Schizosaccharomyces pombe: one gene and its partner. Changing the gene in region 2 together with the main gene of any one other region gives a genetic interaction. Each region holds a gene or a part of one and is shown on either strand. Other genes may lie near its edges.

Region 1 (4,544 bases), 190 kb from region 2:
GAGGATTCAATAAGTGAAGTATTCCCTGACAATTTCTCATGAGCTTCATTTAAAGTTTTTTTTTAAGGGTAGTTTATATGAGATAAAGATCAATTTTTACGTTTAAGTTATAATGGTATACTAAATTTTATTTTTTCATAGAAAGGAATGACATTTATGAAATGCATATCATCTTGTAAATCCACTTGTCGAAGCTTCCTAACCACCATAAACCCAATTCTCTACGATTTGCTTGGTTATCACATATATACGAGCTCTTTAGAGAAATACTAATATGTCAAAAAAATATGGCGGTCAAATTTCGTTTGATCCACCAGCTAGGTTGGAAAAAGATCAAGTCGTCGCCAAAGTTGTGCAACTTAAAGGATCTGCGCTTTTTATGGTAGTAGAAAACAATGGACAGGAATTACTTGTTGAGATGCCTCCAAAGTATCGTAATAAAATATGGGTTAGGAGAAATGGGTTTGTAATAGTTGATAAATCTGAGTTTTTAGAGAAGGACAATAAAATTGACGGTACTATATTGTACGTGGTACAAAGCCCTTTAAAAAATTGGAAAAAACAAATTTATTGGTAAGAAATTCTCTTGAAATAACATTAGATGATTGTGCTAACTAGTTTAAAGGCCTAAAGAGTTTGCAGATGAATCGTTAAATCAAAACGATTCTGAGGAAAGCAGCAGTAGCGAGGAAGAATACGATAGTGACTAACAATTTACAAAAAATACATATATTAAGAATCCTTACAACGAACCTTGTAAATTAAACCGATGATAAAAAGCGTATAACGGGAAATGCTTGCAAGAATTACTTCATCCCACAATCGCTCATTACAATTGAGTACTTTGTTACACTTTAAACAATCCAATGAGAAATACTGATATTATTACCCTAACATTAAGATATTATACTAACCTTTTCATTGAAACTGAAATCACCATGCATTAGCTTTATAGCAATCCTCACCATAAAAAGCAATGACAATCGTGCGATCATTAAATTTACAACCTTTCATCTCTTCCATTGCGACCTCTGCAGATCTGATATCGGAGTATCGTACAAAAACCTTTCCAGTTCCTAATCCCGAGTTTCTAGTGCCAATACTACGAGGAATTTTTATATCTATAAGTGGTCCATAATTCGAAAATTGGGTCTTTACAGACTCATATATGTCTTCATATTCTTGTACATCCATAATTTCGTCCCCAGTAATTAAATTATGTAATTGTAAGACTCTAGTTGGAATAGATTGTGATGACGCCTTAGCAAGTTCTGTCAAAATGGCCATTCCATTAGACTTATCTATCATAGCTTGATTGAGACCTACACAAGCAAATTGTGCGTGTAACTTGTTCCCATACGTATCTTTACCATCAAGACCGCTGATAGCTACTTCCGCATCAGAAGGATTTTTAAATTCGCAAAAACAAAAACCCTTCGAAGATCCATCTGCAATATTTTTTATCAATTGAAAGCTTAATAAATCACCGAAAGGCTTAAGTAGCTCCACCACTTGATCTTCGCCTAAATTTAAAGGTAAATTTGAAATGTAAATTTTGTCTTTTGAATCTAAAACGTCGTTCTTGGCATAATCATCACTTCTTTTTTGAGAAACTTCGGGGGTAATTTGAGGGACGATGTAATTTTGAATTCTTTGAAATTTTAAAAAGACATCATTAGAATATGATTCGGACTGAAGCCCCCAGAGGAAGGTGGCATCTTCAGGAGTAGCGACCTCAAGAATAGCAAAGTTTTCTTCTTTACAGACGTTGACAGAGGAGAAATGCTTTGTCTCGGGTTTATGGTATGTAGTTGAAATAAATAGATCTTCGATAAATGATACAAAAGCATCTTCAACGAATTCGTTAGGAATTCCAGTAACCACTAGTCGACGAGCCTGTCTGCTAGCACCTGGTTGTAAGGGCGGAGGGGGAGCAATAATACTTCCTTCCGCAGAGCGAGCAAATTCTAGCAATTTCTCTGGATCAGTAACTGCAGCTCTAGGAGCGCCTGGCAAAGGAAAAACACCAGACATTTTCGCCTGGTCAGCAGTAACCAATTCATAACCAGGTGGTTTAATGTCCCATAAAGAGCGCTTCCTTTTCCACTGATTTATTGGTGTTACATCTCTCAATTGTTCGAGTTCCTGTTCGATAGACCTTACGCTTCTTTCTCGGCTGGGAGGTGGACTTCTACTTCTTCCGACAGATGAATAACGTAATGATCGAGGCTCATAATCATCATATCTTCTTTCTCTTCTTGGCCTCTCATCCTCTCGATAACTTCTTTCACGAGATTCTCTATGTCTACGAAAATCACTTTCGTCTCGGCGACGTCTTCTAGGTCGTTCAGAGCCATAATGGCCTCTCGGGTCTTCCCTTCCTATCCCACCCGAACCTCTTTCTCGTCTAGGTTCTTCATCGCGATAATCTCTGTGTCGCTTGGGTATCCGTGAAGAACCTGATGATAATCTGGAAGACAAATCCATGTTAGTGAATGAATATGAGGCTATTTAAAAAATTATTCAAAAAAGAAGGGAGGGAAGAAATTCGTTTATTAAAATGAACTCTTAAATTCTCCGGAAAAAACTTTGATGAAAGTAGGGAATACAAAAGTACAAATTCTAATGAAATGATATGCGCGTCAATGCTCTTGGATTCCTTGCTAAAAAAAATTTATAACATGAACAATAATAATTAACTTATTTTTTCTTTATGTGATACGCCCAAGGTTAGTCAAAAGTTTCGACTTACTAAGTTAAGGTAGTGAGAGTTTGTAGTAACTTCGCCAGCGTCGTAATTTTAAGCACAACGTTGTTGACTTACATTTTCTTTTTAGTTTCAAATAGCAACTTTCGCTAAACTTGCATTATAGACAACACTGTAACTTACGAATGCAGTTAAATTTTCAAAAGCATTTATTTAAACTGTTGTCCTTACCCTAGTACCATTCTCCTAAGTTTTAACGAATTTTTCTCTTTTGACCATAGTATTTGATTGTATGGCTTTCTTTTAAAGCAATCTTTAAAAATTTACAGCTGCCATGAAATTCAATAATTTTCGTTTTTTTTTTGCCAGTACATCCACGATAGATTTAATGTTTGTCTCATTTTATCCTTGAAATCCATGCTCTTAAATTGTATGTTCAATCTTTTAAAAATTTACTTTATTACACAAGAAGACGTTTACATTCATTCAAAATTTATTATTATTTATTTTCATACTAGCTTTCCATTGTTGTAAAAGCCGCTCTTTTTTTTAAATATTTGTTTACTTACGGCCATCATCTTGTGCACTTATTCAGTCGCGCTGCTGTGATATCTAAAAATTCATGAAACGATTCTTTAATGAAGCGTGCGACATAAACACTCCAGATAAATCTGGGGTAAACGAGAACAAGTTATGTTTCCCTCCCTTAAAAGTTGTATGTCAAGCACCAGAGACAACAGTTAAAGGACAAGTTGCCAATACTAATAAGCACAATGTATATTCTACTAAAAATTCAATGTATCTGCTGGGGTTCGAAGAAATCCTAAACACCGTCCTCGATTGTGAACCGCATATCTTTACTGATGATGAGTTGAGGGTTATTGAAAACTTTAAAGCTTTAGACTCGGATGAACGGTACTTGTTTGTTCGTCTATTCATGCGTAAAAGAAATAAATGGTTCCGCGTGGGCCATTTGACTTATCCAGATTGCAAGGATGTTATTGCCTGCTGTAAGCAGCTTGTTCTGAAAAATTTTTTTGAAGATGAATCACTCATGTCAACTGAAGAAATAATTGAAATTCTATCTCTCGATGAATTGCGTTCGTTAGCTAGACAAACGAAGGTGTGTGGAAAAAGCAGGTCTGAAATTTCAAAAGAAATCATTTTCCTATCTAAAAGACAATCAGTACTACATTGTAATGGTCAACAATTTTTGTCCTTTGATGCTTTTGGTGTGATGCATAAGCAAGAGTCGTTTCTTCGGAAGCAACTATTATATCAATGCAAATCCTGTGTGAAACCAAAGAAAATTTTAGTAGACCTATTTCATCGAATTAATATTGTGTACTTTCGTTCGTCCATTTATGATGAACAATCGCTTACGTCTTTAATATTAGCACGCCTTAACAAATTTTCCTACCCGAATTACGTTTTATCGCGAACTTCAAACGTCTTTAATTGTCGTGCTCAATGCCTTGAATACGTTGAGGTTTTAGAACTTTCAAAAAACTTGGTTCCAATCTTTGAAAACACTGCCGCTTCGGATAAGGAAGCACTCGAACAAGCGTTGAACAGTTTTTTTGAAATATATCCTATATGGTCGACATATCTAAATGAAGACATTAGGGAATTTTGGGTGGAAGAAAATAGAAAAGTAGATACTCGATTGGTAAGGTTTTCTTTTAGCTTTCGTCCTGGTGCTGTTTACACATACTTAATACATAAAAGTCTAAATATTCTCGCGAAGTCGCGATTAGTTGAGGTTGAACATGAAATATTAGATACCCTTTTATCTCAAAATATATATTTGGTGGGTAAAAGAGGACATTGGTATAAT
Region 2 (5,883 bases):
TTTATTAGATGTTTAATGTTTTCTTATGATAGCTCAATTTGACGAAATGTCTGTTTCATTAGACAAAAAAAAATGCAAAAAATATTTTAATTAACAGACAAATTGGCGTGAAGGTCATAGCGTCTCTATTCCTTACTTAAATAACTAATTTACTAAAATCATGTTGTAGTGTAGGAGTTCGCTACTTTCAGAAATTAAACGACGAACACTCCGAAGGTTAAACAATCATTTTATTTTAGAAATGAGTAATTTCATAACTCTTTTACAATAGCACGCAGGACTGTCATAATTTACAAATTCAATAACTGCGAACATTTCCATGATAATTTCGAGCTGCAATTGCTGAATTAAAATTATTTTATTTTAATTGATTTACAGTATACAACATGATAAAATGCGTTACTTAAAAGGAATCGCTTAACTTCAGCATACTTGCACCTTGCAGGTAAAGCCAGGCCTTCACAAACCCAGCACCATTTTAGCTGCTAAAATGGCAGAAAATGAGAATCATGTACTTTCAATACGAATGTCACACCCATACTATTCAGAAAAAGAAATAAGTCGAATTTTGTCGACGCGAGATCCCAAAGAAAATAATTTGCGAATGCAGGCGTTCGCTTGGATATCAACACTTTCAAAAACTTTAAAATTGTATGCTTTTCCTCAAAATTATCTAGAATCTAACTTTTTTTTAGCCCTGTAAGGACCAGCGGCCTTGCAATGCTTTTATACAGTCGTTTCCAACTATTTTTTCCCGTGAATGAAATTCCTTTGCTGGTATGTTATTTGGATGTCTTTCGCACATGAGTATGCTGTGCTATTTGAAATTTTACGTATTCTGATATAAGAATATTCTGAATGCTGTACATTGGTCATACTATTAAAAAAGACTACAGTTTTTAATAATGTTAGCTCAGCTACTCCAAGTTATAAACATCATATTCTCTTGATTTAGGCTCTTTTTCTTTCAAAAATAACTAACACATTTAGGAGTGCGCTACTGCTTGCTTAGTAGTTGCTAGTAAAATCGAAGATACGGCCAAAAAGTTTCGTGATATTCTTTTAGCACATTATCTTCAAAAGCATCCAGGTTCTGAGGTCGATGCTCATTCACAAGTATGTTACAAGGTGCGCAATAATTGTTTTTTGTTTATAAGGAGACTTGCTTACAGGTGTATTAGCTAATCGAAGAGAACAAGAAGAGGATTCTAGGTTTAGAAAGAATGACACTGGAATTGATTTGTTTCGATTTTCGAGTCCGACATCCACACAATTACATGGTAAAATTTGCAAAATCACTGAAATGTATGACTGCTATTCATTTTACCTTATAATTTTCGAGTTAACTAATTTACTTTCAGTTTCATCTTCCACGGCAAGTATAGCTTGGAATGTCTGCACTGATGCTTATAAAACATACACAATGTTAAAATATCCAGCCCATATTGTTGCCGTCGCATCGATTTCTATTGCTTGCAAGTTACAGCAACTTCCTCAACCTATAATTCCCAGATCGTTCTTCGCTCCACCAGCACTAACGGAAGCAGTGATTGCGGATATACTCGATCTATATATGCATTATCAGCCTCACACTTGCATTGGTAATATGTATACAACGGAAAAATTACTTGGATTATGTGTTGACTTCCAACGAGCCCAAAAAAACTCTGGCCGTCCTCAAAAACCACCCCAAATTGACCCTCATTCTTCTTCTTTAGCAGATGAATACCGTGAGTCAAATAAGAGACTTCAAGAATCCAAAGAAAGTTGTGCCAGATTTATTTTAGACTGCGATAGAAAGTATTTTAATACCGAATTTGAAAAACGAATGCTGGAAGAAAGGAGAAATAAAGGTACGGTTTAATCTAATGGTTCCTTAATGAGTTATCTTACCATCGGTTTGTTCCTTCTTTCGACAGCATTCTGAACAGTATATTAATATGTGACATTACAAGTTACCAATTTCCAATTAACTTCCTTTTGAATGACAAAACTTTATTTTATGCGTTTTCTAAACATAATATGATTTAAAAAGCAGCTGACCTAAACCCTGCTATATCTTAAATATTCATTAAGTAAAAGGAAATTTCGTTCAAATTTCAGTGCAGTAAATGTTGATCAAAAGAAGGAATCGTGATAATCATACGTAACCCATTTCAGAGTGAAAGGTGTCATGCTTTTTTAAAGCAATCACGCTAATGGTGGGAAATTAAAAAAGGGACGATATCGCAAAAAAAAACTATATATAAAAAAAAATCATTTACTAGCGCTTCAAAACCAATATCAAGGTAAACACTAACGAATTTCAGTAGCCCATCCGGGTACATCTTCACCGGTTGCTCCAGTAGTCTCGATTTTGAACGTAGGATCAGCCACTTCGCGCAACCATGGAGAATTGCTCATGTAACCAGCATTGGTTCGCTTGGCAGGATCAAAACATAACATAGGAGATAAAAAGTCTGATATTTGTTGAGCCAACTCGGCTGAAAAATGGTATTTTTGCTCCAAAACATCTTTTAAAGGCCAAAACTTCAATTTATGAATATTTCGGAGTTCACCGCGACGGTTAAATAAATCGCGGGAGTGCTTTCCTGAAAGTGCCATTTGCTTAGGATAATTAACCAATAACTCAATAATTTGGGCAATGTGGTCATCCTCCTTAGAATAAGAATTCCCATTCCGTGGATCGAAAAGGTAATCGCCGGTTAGCAATTCAAAAATGATACAGGCAAAACTCCAGCAATCAGCGGAAGCTCCCCAGCGACATCCTAGAATTACTTCTGGAGACCTATACTGACGGGTTTGCACATCGTTGGTGAAATGCTTCCGTGTCCAGCACGCGTTACCGAGATCGGCAATTTTAACAGTGATTTTTGGAACGGGTTCCTGAGAACCGTTAACACCATCAAGTATAAGAGAATTATCTCCACTAGAAAACGGAGAATTAGGATGAGAATTATGCTTTTGAGAGTCACGAAGGCTGATTTCTGAAACAGCACCTTCTAATGAAGGAAAGCGGCTCAAAGTGGAAGTAAAAGGACTGCTAGGAATGACCTGGCCAGCAGGCTTAGAATTCTTAGTTGGATTTTTTGCAAATGTCTTGCGTTCTTGGGCAGAGTTATCTACAGATTGGCCACGTTTAATAATTGGAGCTTTGGCTGTATAACCAGTGTTATTTCTTGTTTTTGAAGAAGAGGTATTAGAAGTGGGGGAGGAAGTTGTTGCAGGTGCCTCAATATGTTGCAAGGCATCCTGATCAATGCATATTAAAACATTTTCGGGTTTAAGATCAGTATGAATGATCCCGCATTCTCGATGCAAGTAATCCAGAGCGATGAGTAATTGGTAGGCAATTTGCTTTACAATACCCACAGGTACTCCTCGATGGCCGTATGACTGTATCAAACTTAAAAGATTCTCACCGAGAACTTCGAATACCATACAGACATGAGCTCCATTAGGACCACGATGCACAAAATAATCGAGCAAAGAAATGATATGCTTTTTGCCCAAATGCTTTTCGTCCCCTTCTCTAATTTTCTGCAAAATGCGAATTTCATCAATTGAGGTCTCTCGATAGTGCTCTGCTGAACGCACCACCTTCAAAGCTACTCTCCGTTTGGCAGCTCGATCATATGCAAGCCAAACCGTTGAAAAATGTCCCCAGCCTAATTTTCTTTCAACGACATATCGACGGTGATGAAATTCTTCACCAATGTAGACTGGGTGGTATCCACCATAGTGATAGTCCTCTGCATTTTCTTCGTGCGTTTTTACCTTTTCCACCATGCTTTTTCCGTCTACTTCAGCATTGACCTTTTTATTAACATTTTTTCCATTCGTGATCACCTTTTCACTGACATGGTCAACTATTTCAGTGTGTCCCGGTTGTGACACTTTCGGTGACAAACTCGACCCGTCACTTCCCATTTCAAAATGGCTGGCTGCCCCGTATGAAGAAACTACTGATATGTCCCTCCAGCTCTTAAATTAAAATATCTGAGATATGTGAATACACCAATTCCTTCGTTGTTGTTGTTGTTTGTTCTGGTTATAAATACGGTATGGAGTAGTATTTTTAGTGCGAAAATCAACACGGGGAAACACCGTGGAGTCTTAGCACACTACCGAGGAAACTTTGCGCATTAGGAAGAGCGTTTCGATATAGTAAATAACAAAAAATGGGAAAATGGTTTACTAATTATTTTACGCCAGTAGGAGAAGCCACCTTTACACTCCGTTACTGTACCATAAATATTTTAATAATACTACTTAAAAATCCGTATATATGAATACCAATGACTAAGGCATCACTAAAAATATCAGCAGTTGATAGAATATGAACCCCCTGCGCTTTCATCCCATCGCTATCCCTTACTAACTACTTTTACCGAAGTAGCCCAGCCGTTAGAATTCCATAAGATGTGTTAAGGTCTTCCAAATTTATATCGTTATCCATTATAACTGTATCCCATTCAGCTCTTAGATCTCGACAGGATAGCTAGAAAAAATGTAAACAATTCTTGAGTCGTTGAAAAGAGGGATATTTAAGATCTGTTTTCTCTCTCAACATACGGCGTTCTTAAAATGAAAATTCTCAGATAATGTTCTAGCTTTACGGCATTCACACCTACGGCCCGAGATCTACTACCTACTCACACTAACCGTGATTCTACGGGCAAGACCTGGACTCGAAAACATTCAATTACATTGATAAAAACGGGATATAATAAATTGACAAGTATGGCCTGTGCTAACAGTTATTTTTGTTGAGGTCTTAGCAATGTATTATGGTAAACGGAAATCATATGTAAGGTTCATAACCAACCAATAAATATAAATGTCTATTTGAAAGGTACTTTTTTTGTGATGATCAGAAACATAAAGGAAACGGAGATCAACAAAAGTAATCATTGAGGATGATGAATTATTAAAGAAGTCACAAAAAGACAAAAGAAAGAGGCAGCGGGTAATAGAGATCATTTAAAACAAAGTCCATCGTTTCTAAATATCTAAACGGCAGCAAACTGGTTAAATTAACGAAAATAACAATAACAACAAGTAAATGCTGAGGCCATTAACCCAAGGCAACAAACCGCGGGCATGGTTTCTGAATAAAAAAGATGAATATAACAGAAATAAGAAAAACAAAAACTGGAAAAGAGAGGGTCAAGCAAATCAACTAAAAAGCGGACTTCTATGACGAATTAATCCTTTAGACAGTGCTTGCTCATTTGTCGTAATTTCGGCCCATATAAAAACAACATAAAAGGAACTGGAATAAGCCCAACTGCAACAAATCCGACCAGAGAACCAGCCCAACCAATTCCCAAATTATTGAACATTTGGGTTGTAAAAAGAGGAAATGCCGCGCCAAACGAACTTCTAAGTAATGTATTGGCCGCGATTGCAGAAGCAGAACATCCACTATAACAATCAATGATATAATTGATTGTTTGTTGAAAAATTGTAATGATTCCAAAGCCAATAAAACTACCTGCCAAAGTTGGAACAATCCAATGAATCCATGGATAATTACCAGTCCAAGCAAGCCAAAAGATGCCAATGGGAAAGACAATGCAACCGATCATCATGGAGGGAAGTCGTGCTTCAGGAACAGGTCTTCCTTTATTTTCATCCATCTTTTTAAAATAGTAGGGCTGGAACAGGGCAACGCTAGAGCATCCAATACAAACACCAACAAAAATAGCCAAATACGGAAGAGATTCAACACCCAACCTCCATTTTCGACTCTCCCCAAAAATAACTGGGTATGCTTCAAGTAATCCATAAAGGATACCATATACGAAAGCGGTATAAGTTGAAACCACAAGTAATATGGGCTCAAATATTAAAAGACGGAGAGGAAATGTGAAGTATTTG

The links.
Region 1: of dsk1 (region 2) and prp2, changing one suppresses a phenotype caused by changing the other (phenotypic suppression), as found in Schizosaccharomyces pombe (one study listed by BioGRID).

What each region holds. Positions count from the first base shown.
Region 1 is NC_003423.3:1,011,498-1,016,041, reverse strand, and holds prp2 (U2 small nuclear RNA auxiliary factor small subunit, U2AF-59), read right to left. Parts: upstream 2,733-4,544; 5' UTR 2,488-2,732; coding exon 934-2,487; 3' UTR 863-933; downstream 1-862. Other genes in the region: lsd1 (histone demethylase SWIRM1), read left to right, coding at 1-42; tif1102 (translation initiation factor eIF1A-like), read left to right, coding at 275-573, 626-710; fan1 (fanconi-associated nuclease 1), read left to right, coding at 3,330-4,544. UniProt on the Schizosaccharomyces pombe protein: Necessary for the splicing of pre-mRNA. The SF1-U2AF59-U2AF23 complex has a role in the recognition of the branch site (5'-UACUAAC-3'), the pyrimidine tract and the 3'-splice site at the 3'-end of introns.
Region 2 is NC_003423.3:823,884-829,766, forward strand, and holds dsk1 (SR protein-specific kinase Dsk1), read right to left. Parts: upstream 4,050-5,883; 5' UTR 3,931-4,049; coding exon 2,296-3,930; 3' UTR 1,865-2,295; coding exon of another isoform or gene 1,362-1,864; 3' UTR 1,306-1,361; coding exon of another isoform or gene 1,182-1,305; 3' UTR 1,117-1,181; coding exon of another isoform or gene 991-1,116; 3' UTR 922-990; downstream 1-921. Other genes in the region: lsc1 (Lsk1 associated cyclin), read left to right, coding at 491-651, 696-777, 991-1,116, 1,182-1,305, 1,362-1,864; SPOM_SPBC530.15C (spermidine family transporter), read right to left, coding at 5,208-5,883. UniProt on the Schizosaccharomyces pombe protein: May play an important role in mitotic control by altering cellular location, degree of phosphorylation and kinase activity. Abundant expression accelerates the exit when cells are in M-phase and also delays the entry into mitosis when cells are in G2.